Linked DNA regions of Oreochromis niloticus. The protein of the gene in region 1 purifies or fractionates together with the protein of each later gene. This does not show direct contact. Links are inferred from orthologs where the notes say so. Each region holds a gene or a part of one and is shown on either strand. Other genes may lie near its edges.

What was found.
Region 2: the proteins of taf10 (region 1) and tada3l purify together in Homo sapiens (affinity purification with mass spectrometry; 5 studies listed by BioGRID and IntAct, counting the BioPlex papers as one, with this or other methods). This does not show direct contact. The link is inferred for Oreochromis niloticus from reciprocal best matches to the Homo sapiens genes TAF10 and TADA3.

Annotation. Positions count from the first base shown.
Region 1 is NC_031984.2:24,229,699-24,236,740, forward strand, and holds the start of taf10 (transcription initiation factor TFIID subunit 10), read right to left. Parts: upstream 3,086-7,042; 5' UTR 2,831-3,085; coding exon 2,698-2,830; intron 1,271-2,697; coding exon 1,113-1,270; intron 965-1,112; coding exon 900-964; intron 121-899; coding exon 6-120; intron 1-5. Other genes in the region: uncharacterized protein zgc:154075, read left to right, coding at 3,659-3,672, 3,982-4,090, 4,296-4,380, 4,450-4,523, 4,616-4,675, 5,549-5,656, 6,038-6,094, 6,417-6,547 and 2 more. UniProt on the Homo sapiens protein: The TFIID basal transcription factor complex plays a major role in the initiation of RNA polymerase II (Pol II)-dependent transcription.
Region 2 is NC_031970.2:30,393,623-30,401,429, forward strand, and holds the start of tada3l (transcriptional adapter 3), read left to right. Parts: upstream 1-4,764; 5' UTR 4,765-5,004; intron 5,005-5,014; exon of another isoform or gene 5,015-5,215; intron 5,216-5,315; 5' UTR 5,316-5,349; coding exon 5,350-5,559; intron 5,560-5,677; coding exon 5,678-5,925; intron 5,926-6,078; coding exon 6,079-6,184; intron 6,185-6,290; coding exon 6,291-6,426; intron 6,427-6,516; coding exon 6,517-6,620; intron 6,621-6,741; coding exon 6,742-6,848; intron 6,849-7,235; coding exon 7,236-7,427; intron 7,428-7,533; coding exon 7,534-7,726; 3' UTR 7,727-7,807. Other genes in the region: actin-related protein 2/3 complex subunit 4, read right to left, coding at 2,405-2,410, 2,490-2,660, 3,023-3,118, 3,210-3,321, 3,644-3,762, 4,328-4,330. UniProt on the Homo sapiens protein: Functions as a component of the PCAF complex. The PCAF complex is capable of efficiently acetylating histones in a nucleosomal context. The PCAF complex could be considered as the human version of the yeast SAGA complex.

The DNA.
Region 1 (7,042 bases):
CTTACCTTTGTCTTACTTCTTGAGCTTCCTGAGGCAGTGCCTTTCATTTTGCAGTACTGCAGCGCATCATTGGCAATGTCTGAGATAAACTTCTGAGATGCGAGGGAGATCAGACGAATTCTATGCATGGAAGAAAATAATTAATACCTTTTTCCCTTGATGTTTACAGCCCACCTGTATCCTTATTTTGAAAAACACCACACACATAAACCTCAGATTTTCTATGATCTTGTTCAGAGTGATCACAAAGCTGACATTAACGAGTCTTACAAGGTTAGAGATGTTGCATTTTGGTTAAAAGGTTAAAGCCAGTTTGTTTTAAGCAAATCTAAATCAGCCAACACTCCCTGTAACATCAGAAAGCACGGTGCAACCTAACTAATACAGCATTAAGATAAGAAATGCTGTATACCATTGGGAAATTCTTTAAATTATGACAATATAGTCATTTATTTGTGACTTCAACATGTTCCCATTGCCAGATTACATTAATTTCTGACTCATTCAGTGCCTTGAACTAAGGTTTTTATTGGTGAACTCATATTATATAAAGGCTTTTAAGTCAGCTGTTAAGTAAATTGGTGGCTATCAATCAAACCTCTGAACGTACCAACTATGAGCAGCCTTATGATTTGTGCTGTAATGTACTCCTCCATGTGTGCACACTGACAGATACAAAGCTGTTCCTAGTATACAATTTCTCAGTCTACCTAAAGGACACATGCACAGGTGGAGGTTTTTTACTGACATTACATTAGACATTACATTACACTGACATTAGAGCAGAATCGAGTGCATCTCACCCTCACATTTGCCTCTGATGACATTTTTTTTATCACTTAGATCCATGCATCCCTGCAGATGCCAAAAGATCTGAATACTACACTGCATGTACTCACATCCTTGGATCAGAAGCCTCAAAACCAGCCCGGTTGAGGTAGTAACCTGTGACTGCATCAGGAATCTGGTGGGAAAAAAACAAAAACAAAGAATAACTACTAATGTATATGTCACTAATATTATTAGTGCACATGTACCAATCAAGGACTGATTAAGAAACATTTCTGTCAAAAATGTGTGAAAGTATGATGTAGCGGGGCTAACTGACTTACCGTGGGAGTGTACTCTTCCAGCTGCATGAGGAAATCAGCCAGTGGCGTGGTGGAAACAGCAGGCTTCACATCTCCATTAGTGATGCCACCAGGAACATAGACTCCATTGGAAACAGATGTGTCTGCAGACGGTGTCACCACAGCTGATGAGGATGAAGCTATAAAAGACACATCAAGCAATGTCTGAGATAAACTTCTGAGATGCGAGGGAGATCAGACGAATTCTATGCATGGAAAAAAGAAAATAATTAATGCCATCTGTCTTGTCAGTCCAAAATGTGAACATTGGTATCATCAAAAGAGTGTAGCTGTGCATCCGCACCTAAAGGATAAGTTGTGGCTTTTGCTGCTTGGTTATTTGGCCAGTGGTGTTGAGGATTTTGGTAAAGTTGATGAAATTATAAACACACTTGAATAGGGTTAGATTTTGATATCCACCACAAAATACCATCTGGAAACAGTTTCATTTTTCAGCATGACAATGATGCCAAACACACTGCTAATGCATTTAAAAAAAAAAAAAAAAAAAAAAAACCTGGAAAGAAAAAATATACAATTAAGCACTATCAGTCATGGATCAGGATCCCAAAGACCAGACTTCAACTTTACTGAAACAGTCTTGGACCATCTTCACAGACAACAGAGCAAAAGGCAGCCAACATCCAAAGAAGCTTTAGATGTAATTCAAGAAGCCTGGAGAACTATTGCTAAAGAGTACTTAGAGAAGTAGTCTCCAATTTTTACATGAAAATTAAATCCATTTTAAGGATGGGGCCTAAGGGAACATCTTCCACCATCACTAATTCCCCAACTCTCTCTAAACAGTACTCATGGCCATTAATCAATGATCATGACAATTTGTATATTAGTAATCAGGAAACTGACCTAACAGTTAATCAGTTGCGGGACCCCACAGTCAGCTGAAACTGAAGAGGTCACTTGCATGAGTGACACAACATACCTCAACAGTCAGATAAATAGAATCAACTTTCTGTGACTACTTAAAGAACCTACAAGAAAGCTTGCCTGAGAGGATTCAAGGCCTTTTAAATAATAAAGGTGGTCATATCAAATATTCACTTTATTTTCAAGCTTGTTAGAATTGCACAAACTCTGTTTTTGCCTTATATACCAACATTTTTCAATGCACTGCACCCATTTCCAATTTTCCCTTGCAAAATATAAAGAAATCAGGGATGGCTTGAGACTTTTGCAAAGTACTGTACAAACAATCTAAAAAATTGCTACAATGGTTAAGTTAGTGCTACAGGCTTAACCTGAAACGTGGTACTTGGTAGGTTTTGTAATTAATATGTTTAAATCACTTTAAAGTGTTAGACGGCAATCTAACACTTTAAAGTGTTAGATTGCCGTCTAAAACCTACCTTAATGCATTACACTTTGATGCATTAAGGTAGGTTTCGCTGATGGTGTTTAGGTTAGTACGCGTTTCTCTCAGTCAGGCTTGGTATTGTTGTCAATAGTCAATGTACATCGTGGAAAGTTTCGACTTCCAGTGCGAGATGAAATCAGCAAATGCTCTCAGAATAATAACAAAGACAATAACAAAGTCACGTTACGTTACCATTACTCGTGACCGACGGGATGCTGCTCACGTTGGTTGTCGTATTATCGTTGGCAATGCAATTACTTGCCGTTGACGATGTGGTAGAAGGCACTCCTGTTGTTACAGACTGATTTACGTTGTCCATATTCATGCTGGCGTTAGCTAACGAGCTAACCGTGGTTAACTAGCACCGAAATATGCAAAACACCACAAATCCGCGATTTATAGCTGTAAGACAAGTATTCTACAAAATACTGTTTTAGTATAAGTCTACCCTTTCATTCAAAGAAATTAATTATCAAAACTGAAAAACTATAACTCGTAGCAGAAGTGTTTCTAAGACCTTTGCAGTAAAACGCTGAGCCACTACTGTTAGATCACGTCATGTGACATAGAGGCGTTCTCTTCTTCTATGTTGACTGCACACCGCCGCCTACGCCCCCTGCCGTAGCGGAGACTGTAGGCAATACATTAATACACTTTCTTTATATTTAAAGAATTTAATTCAGATTTGAATTTCACTAACTCACTGACCTGCATTGGACTCTTTTCAGAAGTTTTTACAGCCTTGCCAAGAGTAAATAGACGTCAACACATAATGACAGCAGCGATAAACAGCAAAATGACAACCTAAAGTCAATAAAGATGAACAGCAGCCATAGATGTTTTGTTGTTTGTTTGCAAAGTGCGATCTATTGAGATCTAGCGGTTAGATTGTACACACCATAGCTTTATAAACAGAGATTCACCGCTTCTCTTGTGAGAAGTGGCAGTTTACGAGGTGCACTGAATGCAGCAGAGCGATCTCGTGCACACTGCAGGGGGCGTTAAGGGATTGTCGGACATTTTCTCGGTTGATATTCTGGTTCGAAGAAGTGAGTCAGTCTTTCACTAGAGTGGACTGTCTGCTGGGCTCTGGACAAATTGTAGTCCTGTATTCATCTGACCAAAGCGGGAGACGGACGTTTGTGACAGTTGTATGGGACAAAACAGGTACTGTCAGGCTTTATAAACGTACAAGTACAATTCACCACAAACGCCGATTAACGACTTTCACAAGCTTCCTCTTATTCCCTGTTCAGTAATCACTCAGGGCTTGAATTGTTAGTTTAGTCCACTTTTAAATGATTGACAATTTTGTGCCTATCTCTGTGAGTTTAACGTGTTTACATATCGACGTATTAAGGGAAGTATAATGCATCTGTGGAGGACTGCTCAGGACTGCTCAACCTGTAATCTCACGATTATTTATTCTCTTGGGTTTTGTGGCATTGTAACTACAAGCTTTAATTTGTGTCAAAGTTCACAGGCTGGCAAAATGACTGCTCCTGTCCTTGTGATCGTGGTGGGAGGAGGATGTCGGGGTGAAATCTACTCCCAGTATGCGTCTATTCATCCTCAACGAATGAAGGTTAGAAGAGGCTTGTGTTTCTGAGGGAAATATTTGGCAAAAGCATGTCTTCGGAAATGTCGAAAGGAAATGGATGAAAAGTGAAATTACTCCCCTTACCCTTCTTTGCTCAAGTGATTGATGTAACCTGTTCCTACCGATGTCACGTAGTTCGTTGTAATGTTTAACAGGGCGTACCTTGATTTATTTACTTTGACCCGCTCAGGTTGTTGCAGTGGCTGATCCACGGAAATTTGCAAGGAGCAAACTTCAAAAACAACACAAAATCGAAGAGGAAAACGTATTTGAAGGTGAGAGAGAAAAAGTATTAAACATTTATAATTATCTGCCCTGTCCTTACTGAATCCTCTTTTATCCAGACTGGCAGGCTGTAGTTGAAAGAGACAAGTTTGCAGACGCTGTGTTAATTTGCACCCCAGATCGCCTCCATAAGGTAAACACTGTCTGCAGCAACTATTTTTGGTTTAAATTACTTTGAAATGTTCTTTCTGTAATTATTACAGTGATCGTATTTATGCTTCCTAGGAACCTGCTGTGGCCTTTGCAAAGAAGGGATACCATGTTCTTCTGGAGAAACCAATGGCAGTGAGTGTTTATGGGTGTTACTGATGAACTGATTTTGCAGTAATGAGTAATCTCTGATTTGCACCAAAAGTTTTATTGTCTGAAGTTTGGACACACAGAATGCTGTGAAAATTTAGCTTCCTTTTAAAAATACTTTTTAACTTATATTATTTAGAAAAATGGCCCATTGAACCTCTTTCAGACCATTTTTTTAGCTTTCTAAAATCTGAGGCAGTGTTCTAACAAGATTTTCAACATCAAACTAAGAGATTTTCTTAGAGTACCTTCTGGAAATTTGTTGTATTTGGACAGGACAGTCTAAAATGTAATGTTAAAAGTAATCTGTGTTGTCTTTTACACTGCTGTGAATTATTCTTTAGAAATGATCATAATTGATGCAATGATCATAATTTGTGGCAATGTGAACTTTATTATTAGTGTGTGCTCAAATATGGGACTTTACAGGACACCTTTAACTGACTGATACTTAGACGTTTTTTTTATGTATCTGTTCAAAATTACAGATGGCAAGAAAGACCAGTGAAAATTTCAGGCTTTTATCTTGAATAGTGTTTTAAATTTTCATGTTCAAAAAGGTGTTCAATGTACAAAAAAAAGACTTCTGAAAGTGGGTCGACAGATCATTTATTCAAAGAAAGGACATCTTGAAAAGCATTTGATACATGAAGCTAAAATTTTACAGCAATCGTTCTACGTGTCCAAACTTTAAAGCTTTAAAATCTGCTAATTTGAGCTAGAATGACCCAACAGTTGTTTTAGTTGCTTTCACGATTCACTATTCTGAGTAAAAGCTTCAACAAAATCACACACCCTCCGTATTTTACATCAAACTGAAGCACAGCGTCTCTCTTTAATGTCCCGACATGACTTCAGACAACTGCAGAAGACTGCACGGCGATTGTGGAGGCTTGCATTCAGAGCGGCGTGATGCTGTCCGTGGGTCATGTTCTCCGGTACGATCCAGTCATCCACAAGATAAAAGTGAGCTTTGTCTTGTGCACTTACTTTATCCAGCTGTGACAGTTTTCTTCAGCACGTAGTGGAATCTACTTGGGGGTTCAAACACTTAAACTTCATCTGCCTAAAATCTGTAGGAACGCTTCCTCATTTGAAACAGCCACACATTTACAGAATCAGCAGGATTGAGGAAAAATAAGCAAACAGAGCTCTCTTTTGTGTTTGTGAAAGTGCAAAAAAAATCCCTCAAAAACAGCATTTTAATAAACAGTGTTGAAGCTGTTTCGACTTGATGAAGTCAAAACTACAATTTTCTCATACTTGGGAAAGTGGTAAAGAAAATGTACATAATCTGTATGAGGGTTTTGCCGTTTTTTATTAATAAGAATAAATTATGTTTTACAGGAGCTCATAGACGCTGGAGTCATAGGTGATGTGATCCATATTCAGCACCTGGAACCGGTGAGCAGGCAGATACGATAGAAACATAATAATTACTATTATTATTGTTAACCCAGTGAATTTAACATTGATATGTTGATTTTTCTTTTGTTGTTAATATCATATTAGAACATAACACAACGGTCTGTTTGAAATAATTTCATAATTAACATATTCATTAAGAAAGTCATAATTTGAAAGCATTTGCACATAGTTGTGGCCTGTGGACAAATTTGCAGCAGTGTATGTTTTTGTTATGTTTTGGGTTTACGGGTTTTTTAAGTGTTATTCAATTCAAGTTTCTGCAGCATGGTTAAAAAGAGAATCGATCTCTTTCTTCCAGGTTGGGTTTTATCACTTTGCTCATTCGTTTGTTAGAGGGAACTGGAGAAACGAAGCAGAGAGCTCTTTTGCTCTTCTGGCTAAATCTTGCCATGACATTGACCTCATACATCACTGGGCTGGAGGACGCAGGTAGATCATTAGACAGTGTTCAGTGATTAAACTCCAGGCTTAGTGTTCAATAGTACGATTTCTTTTCTCCTTTCTTTTGGCCTAAAACAGCTAGAAAACTACATGTTTACCCCAATTTTGTTGGACTAGAGGTAAATGGGGGTGTTTTTTGTGAAGTTTGACTATTTACTCTGGCAATTTGTTCTTGGCAGGTGTGTGAAAGTGTCGTCATTTGGATCAGTCAGCCACTTCAATAAAGAAAACAAGGTATGTTGTCTGTTCAGTCATGAAATGAAGGTAATCAGTAGCCATGGCGGGTAGAAATCTCTGTACTAAGCCTGAATATAAAATGTGACGTTGCTAGTTTTGTGTCAGCCAGCAGGGGCTGCAGATCGCTGCCTTAACTGTTCAGTAGAAAAAGACTGTCCGTACTCAGCATGCAAAATCTACTTGGACAGTGTGAAGAAGGTAAACATTTTACCACTTTACTTTCACCATTTATGTACTTTTTTTTTT
Region 2 (7,807 bases), on another chromosome or scaffold:
GTGTCCGGGCCTCGGTGTTCAGCGGGGCCCTCGGCATCGCTGGTCCAAATTATTTATGAATCAAAGTATTGTCTTGCACAGCGGGGAGTTAAACACTTGGCTCACGCAGCAGATTCCTGTCTGCCTGTTACTGTACTCAGTGTGGTTTCATTGTGTTGATTTTGCGCAGCAGTAGCACTAACACTGAAAGTTACTGTGATGTGTCTTGAAGTATTAATCCTGTGATTTTTTTTTTTTTTTTTTTCCGCTCCATGTTTTTGATATGCAACCGTAACGTGCAATCATCATCGGATGTGAAGCTGTCTTCAGTGATAATGTGCAATTTGTAGGCCGCAAACCTACTCGGACAACAGCTTACTATTTTTAAAGTGGTGATTCAGTGATAGATTAAAGGACTGGGTCAATAATTTTTAATGGTAAACAAGTAGCCATTTCATTTTGTAGGGCTGGCTGGTGTAATAGCTTTCCTTAGCTATGTGGTGTACAGTATCTGCTTGTACAGTGTCAGCTGAAACTGATGTTTTATGTAAATGATGATTCCACACACGGGCCTTCAGTGAAAATACACTCACATGCTTTCGTCACTCGTTTCTTTGAAGAACACATCAGAGCATTAAACATGCAAAACAGGAAAAAAAACCCCACAATATTAGCTTGAAGTTGGTGTTTTGGGTCAAGATTTTAAAAAAATGTACATCCCAACTACACAATAATAAAGATGTTATTTTTTTAAGCCAACCACTCCGATCTGTCTTCTCACTTGAGGTTTTTGTGACTGCATACCTTTTGTGATGGGTTTCTTTATGAGGGTTTAGTGCAGTACTGGTTCGTGTTGTGGTTATTTCTTGATAATGGGATTATTTGTGGGCGGCACAGTGGTTAGCACTGTTGCCTCACAGCAAGGTCCTAAGGTTGACTCCATCATCTGGACGGGGCCTTTCTGTGTGGCCAACATGCTGTGCAGTGTGTGCTTACAAAATTGAAGGAAACTGGGCGAGTAATTACACAAGGACTGGACTGAAAATCAGTGGCAACAGGTCTCGGAGTGAGGGAGCCAAATCAAAAACGTCAAATCATCAATATGTACAGAGGTCTTCAGGAGAGGTCCAACAGTGAGTGCCTACAGCCATCTGTAAAACACGGTGGAGGGTCTGTCATGGTGTAGGGTTGCATTTCATCCAGTGGTTTTAGAGATCTTGTTAAAATTGATGGGATTTTAAACAGATTAATCAGATTTTGATCAACCAGGAAATACCATCTGGAAATGATCTGATTATCAACATTATTCGAGCAGTTTGGGATCATCTTTGAATGTCCTTCAAGAAGCCTGCAGAACTATTTCTAAAGACTCATTAAAGAAATGACAAGAGAGCTTACCTAAAAGACATCAGGCTGTGATTAAGAATAATGGTGATCAAATCAAATGTTGACTTACAAGCTGTTCTGCCTTTAAAAAAAGTATTTCTATGTGCGTTTATACCTTCCAATTAATCGCTGCATTTCCTACTTTCTTAGCAAAATATAAATATGGGGTGATTTAACACTTATGCACAGTCAAACGCATGAACCATGGTATCACAATGGAAACTTGGGAAGTTGCAAAGCTATCTTGCCATCATTGTAAAGTTAATTTGGCTGCATCCTCTTCAAGCCAGGACAGAAACACATTCGGATTAGGTTGTGAATGTGAACAAATACCGTCAGACGCAACGATTCACACCCTGCCTGCACTTCCCCTTCCTGGGGGCTGAAACGGCGCACAGCAGCTACGCATAAGGCAAAATGTGGTTAAAGGGCAGGCTAAGAACAACTTCCTCTGAAACAGAGCAAATCCATTTATAGGAACAGCAACAGCGCAGCAAAAACGTCAGCTTTCAAACACAAACGGGTATAAACAACTGAGTTTTATTATATTTCCGTATCTTCTTGCATGACTGATGGCAGTTTCTTTACAGTGAGCTCTTTCTACGTGTGACTTAACACTTCCACAAACAAGTATGTCCTGAACAGAGAAAATTTGGAGACAAATTTAAAACGACAGCAACAGAACACACAGACAAAAAAATACAAAATTCTGGTGAGTTTTATTTGGAACAGCACAGCCTCAGTGATCCTGTACTCATGGTTATCAACTTGATTAATACTTTAAGGACCCGCCTTTGTTTGGGGATTTGTTCTAAGTGGCTGAAAATGAAACTGTAAATATTTCATTATGTACAGTCATTGATATTCATGAGTACAGGAAGACACTCGGGTGTAAAGGGTAATCAAAGGGTATCAAAGCCAGATTGGTCACGTTCCTCTCCTCTCGGGTCGGCTGCTTACTCCTTTAACTCTCCACTCTTGTGCTGAGTGGCCCTTGGAACATTCCCAGGGTGGCACGGGGCAAACACTAACGCTTCCATCAGAACTGTAAAGACAATAGAATCAAATTAACACGAGGCAATAATAAAAGCGGAGCCGCTGCAGGGAGAGAACAAGTTACTTACATTCTTGAGGAATTCTTCGGCAACGATACGGGCCCTGGCGTTAACTGAAAGTTTCATCTCACTGATCTCCTTGTCGATCTCCTCCATGAAGTGGATGACAAAGTCCACCAACTTGTGTTTGTACATCTGCTCCGTGTGGAAGTTGGTAATCAAGAAGCTAATATCATATCCCTAAAATAAGAGTGGAAAAAAGAAAAGACACCATTTGTGTTACTGCATTAAAGCTAGTGTAATTACTGAGATATTTATTATTGTTTCCTTCTTTTGCTTGCTCCCTTTAGGGGTCAACACAGCGGATCATCTGCTCCAACTTCCCCCCCATCCCTAACATCCTCCCCTGCTGCACCAACCCTCTTCTGGATCTTCTCTATTGAGGTGTTTACTGTCTGTATGATGTATCTAAAACATGCATGCATGAAGAGCTTTATGACTCATTTAAAAAGCTCCCACACTTCCTCGTTTTCTACGTGGTATTCTTCCTCTGATACTGTTAATAAGTACTGATTTCTCTTTCGTCACTCGCTGTCTCTTACCTCTACTGGCTTCCTCCGCAGAATGAAGAAGTTCTCTGCTCTCATCATCATGAAGCGCATAAACTTGTGGCAAAGGATCTTCTCGATCTCATCGGCCTGCAGTCGATCAGTAGTTTTTAAAGAGTGTTAGAATATTCTGGAAAGTCATAACCACAATAAAAGTTAAAACCATGCTAGCTCTACTGACCTGCTTGACAGCAATACTGACTCTGACGGAGTTGATGGATCCCTCGATGAGAACCTTCTCCTTGTCATTACGGCTGATCACCACCGGCTGAAGCAGCAGCTCCTTACTGCTCCTGTAACAACAGCAAAAACAGTCCTTCTAAACACAGTGAAACTCAACGTTATGCTCGAGACCCCGCAACACTGAACGGGAAGGACACCTGCGAACAAGCTGAGGCAAGTCCCTTCAGTCCAACTTTAAAGCCTTGCCCTTGCTTGTAGCCATTTTTCTTCCCTCCTTGATTTTCTTATGCAAGTTTGCACATGACTGAACTCGTCTGCCAGCAGCTGATCATACTACACACATCTTTAGGGCAGGAGAAACATGAGGAAGCACAGGGTGGGAAGCAGCAGGGGACAAACCAGTGAGACTCAACTGAGTGCTGCTAAACATACCTGACCTCCACCTCTGGCTTGTTATGGCGCTCCACCACCTGAGAGGAGAAGTTCTCCAGACATAGGGCTGCCTGCAAGGTGGCCCTCACAGCGTTTAAGTAGGGGCGCAGAGTCGCTGTCTGAGGAGAAAAGTAATAAAAAGGTCAATACCTGGGAGGATTCGGGCACATGCAATGAGATCCTTCCAGTTGAATAAAGGTAAATCGCCCAGCAGGGACTGGTATTTAAGGTTACGCATGACAATAATCCGTGTGCAAGTCTCACTTGACAGCTATCTGTTATCACAGGCAGAATGAACAAGTATCTACTAATGCTACGTAGCTACGTGTAGATCTGTCTGCGATATGAATGCAGAAGAGGATGTGATGCCTTCAGGTGATCGACACTGCAGCTCATCCAAATTATTTACTGTTTATACCAGTTTTTCCACAGTTTAAGGACAAACTGTGGTGGTCACAGAAACGAGCAGAAAAGGAAACGAGAGGAAAAGACAGCTCAGTCAATCTGTTTCTGCAAACCGTATCAAGGATGCCCGTAATCTCATTTTGCTGCAGCCAACCAGAAACCACGTCTACAAGGAACACACAGCTAGCTAGCTAATCTTAAGGTAAATGTGGCAGTAGTTAGTTGGGGTAATTGGCTAAATAATTAAATATAAAGCTGAGTATTGTGCTGGAGACTTACCATTTTTGACCTGTAAAAGACGGAAGTTCCTCAGCCACGCCTGGGACGACTCTTCCGTAAATCCTACATAGTCAAGAAAATCTATGGTGTGTTCGTTTTGATGCAAGTCTTAGTCTAATGAATAGTTTTTACCCACCCAGCGCAAATGTCACGGTTCGCGTTTATTTCTCCGCCCAGGTGGAGTGTATTTTTAATCAAAACGAGCACACCCTAGGGTGTTCCCATTCTGCACTATGAAGAGGGGACAACGGCTGTTGTCTCACGAGTTTTTATTTTTACCTTATATGGTTTTGATAGTTAGATGTCAATTATCAAGATTAACGTACACAAACTATACTGTCTAACTTCCAAATTAAAAGCTTGGCAGCAAATATTTTTTTTAATACGCCTAGACACAAAATGGTTTGGTATCATCCGATGATACCATTGTGATAGACTACTCAACAGGCTCTATGAAGCGCCAAGTCTCCAGACTCTGTATTCTCAGACCTATCACTTTTTAAATTGCTTTTACAACTTAAAATGCCTGGTTAGGTTTTTTAAAAAATTTAACTAACTCATTTTTTCCCCAGAATCGTCATTATATATAAAATGGGACATCATTTTAGGTGAATAATTTTAGCACACACCCCTCTTACCACAATGGTTTCACCCATCATGGACGCCATTCAGTGAAGGTAACTAGCGCTGCTCTAAAACATTATACACATTATAATTTGTGCGCTATATTTGTGTGGCGTGGGTTTAAAACGCCCACATTTAAAGCGTCTGTGCGCATATCATGAATATAAAAGAAACCCTTGTTAGAATTTAAACGTATTCTCCAGCATTTCGGGCCCAACGAGCCTGCGCTCTTTAAAGCAGTCCTGATTGTACGTGCGGCCGTACGTAAGTGTTTCTGAATTTGTGTGTGAGAGCTACAGGCACAGAGCTGGACTCACATTGTATGTCAGTCTGATAATCTAATGAATACTTTGTCCTATGCCAGTAAAATCACTGTCAGGTCTTTGCTGCAATACATCATGAGTGAGCTGAAGGACTGCCCCCCACTGAAATACTACGACTTTAAGCCCGTGGAGCATGTCAAGGTATGCCCCCGCTACACTGCTGTGCTGGGCCGCTCAGAGGATGATGGCATCGGCATCGAAGAGCTGGATACCCTGCAGTTGGAGCTGGAGACACTGCTGTCCTCAGCTACCCGCCGCCTACGAGCATTGGAAGAGCAGAGACAGGTAGGAACAAGCTGGTGACCTCTCTTCTTTCATGTCACTTTTCTTTTAACCATAAGGTTTTCATCTCTAAGCATCTAGATGCAGCCTTGTATATTAAAGGCTATCATAATTTTCTCAGATCCTTACAGACTGGCAAGATAAGAAGGGAGATAAACGCTTTCTGAAGCTGGGGAAAGACCCAGACCCCGCTGCCTCATCTCGCCACAAACCAAAGAAGCAGAAATTGGACGGCAAAGGAGGTCATGGGCCAGGCCAAGGTCCCGGCAGACCCAAAACCAAAAACCTGCAGCCAAAAGTACAAGAGTATGAATTTACAGATGACCCTCAAGACATTCCCCGCAACCCTAAAAATGATGCGCCCAACAGGTCTGCAACAACATACAAATTATATCTGCTTAGTTTTATTTTCTCTTTAATGTTTCTTTTTTTCCTTCTAATTTTTAAGTCCTTCTCAGATGTGTGTTTTAGCAAGAAAAACACTTTATTCTTATATTACCTTGTAATATTTCTGTTTTTAAGATTCTGGGCCTCAGTGGAGCCATACTGTGCAGATATTACAAATGAAGAAATACGATTGTTAGAGGAGCTTCTTAAACCACCAGAGGATGAAGCAGACTACTTCAAGGTATGACATAAAGAGCCATGTACCCAATGTTATGTTACAAATAACTGTATCCAATGCAGTGAATAAGAGTGTTTTGAGGTTTGGGGCTGATCTGTGTTAATGGTAGATTCCAGCATTGGGAAAACACTACTCTCAGCGGTGGGCTCAGGAGGATCTGCTGGAGGAGCAGAGGGAAGGAGCACGAGCCAACGACAAAAAGAAAAGCGTCATGGGAGGGCCGCTTTCTGAACTGGACGCAAAAGGTGAGGGGAAGGCTCACCTGCGCCTACTTATGACTGTGCATGAACTAGTAACTCCACCTTAACACTAACTTTTATCTTCACCTGCTGTAGATGTGGACTCGCTGCTGAAAAAGTCAGAATCCCAACACGAATCTCCAGAAGACGGTTGTCCCTTTGGTCCTCTTACACAGCGTCTGCTGCAGGCTCTTGTAGAGGTCAGACTCATCATTTTGTGACCAGCTTTTGCCATGATAAAGCTTGTAATAATGCATCATTGCGTTTTAAAAAATACAAATAATAATATACATATAAATACATGAGCATGGTTTCTTCCAGGAGAACATTATATCCCCCATGGAGGATTCCCCTATACCGGACATTTCAGGAAAGGATGCTAACGATGGTGCTGGGACTTCACCTCGAAGCCAAGGAAAAGCTTTTAGGTATAATGTCAGCATCAAATACATTTTTGATATATTACATGAGAGGACCTCCTGAAATAGCAGCCATTTTTAAACACAATCTCCTCATCCACACAGACCTCGGTATCCTCAGCATGAAACAAAAGAAAAACTGCATTCAATCTTTTTTAGGATGTTTTGGCAGGTCGGCAACTAATTCTTCAAAGTACCTCAATTTATTGTCTGCTTTCATGCAGCTGTGCATGCACACACAAACGTGGATGTTTATTCCTGTCCATTATATTTAAAGGGAAGAATTGGTTCTAGATTTAAGATGGTAACATTTTAAATGTATGACACTCGTTGGTTCTTTTACTGGTGTTTTCCGCTCTGCATCTGCATATTTCTTACGATCTTTGCCATCTTTAGCGTTCCTCATACGCGTTCCCTGGAGGCTCGAATCAAAGAGGAGCTGGTAGCCCAGGGGTTGCTGGATTCCGAGGAGCGACCTGGCCAGGGAGGAGACTCTGAGGATGAGGTCCTTGCAGAGCTGCAGAAGAGACAAGCAGAACTCAAAGCCCTGAGCGCTCACAACCGAGCCAGAAAGCAGGAGCTGCTACGGTGAGGACAGAGAGCAGCAGTGGTTCTGTTTGCCACCTAAGTGAAACTGTACATCTGTTAGAGATCTTTGATCACATGAAACTCTGGATTTGCTGTTTTTTCCCAGGTTGGCAAAAGAGGAGATGCGCAAACAGGAGTTAAGGCAGAGAGTCAGGGTGTCTGACAATGAGGTGATGGAGGCATTTCGGCGAATCATGGCAGCCAGGCAGAAGAAACGTACCCCAACTAAGAAGGAGAAAGATCAGGCCTGGAAAGCACTGAAGGAGAGGGAAAGCATTCTCAAATTACTGGATGGATAGAGGAAACCACAGTTTCTGTGGTGAAAAAAATATTGGAAGAAACCTCTTCAACCTAACCCACGGCTCAAACAGCTGTCAGTT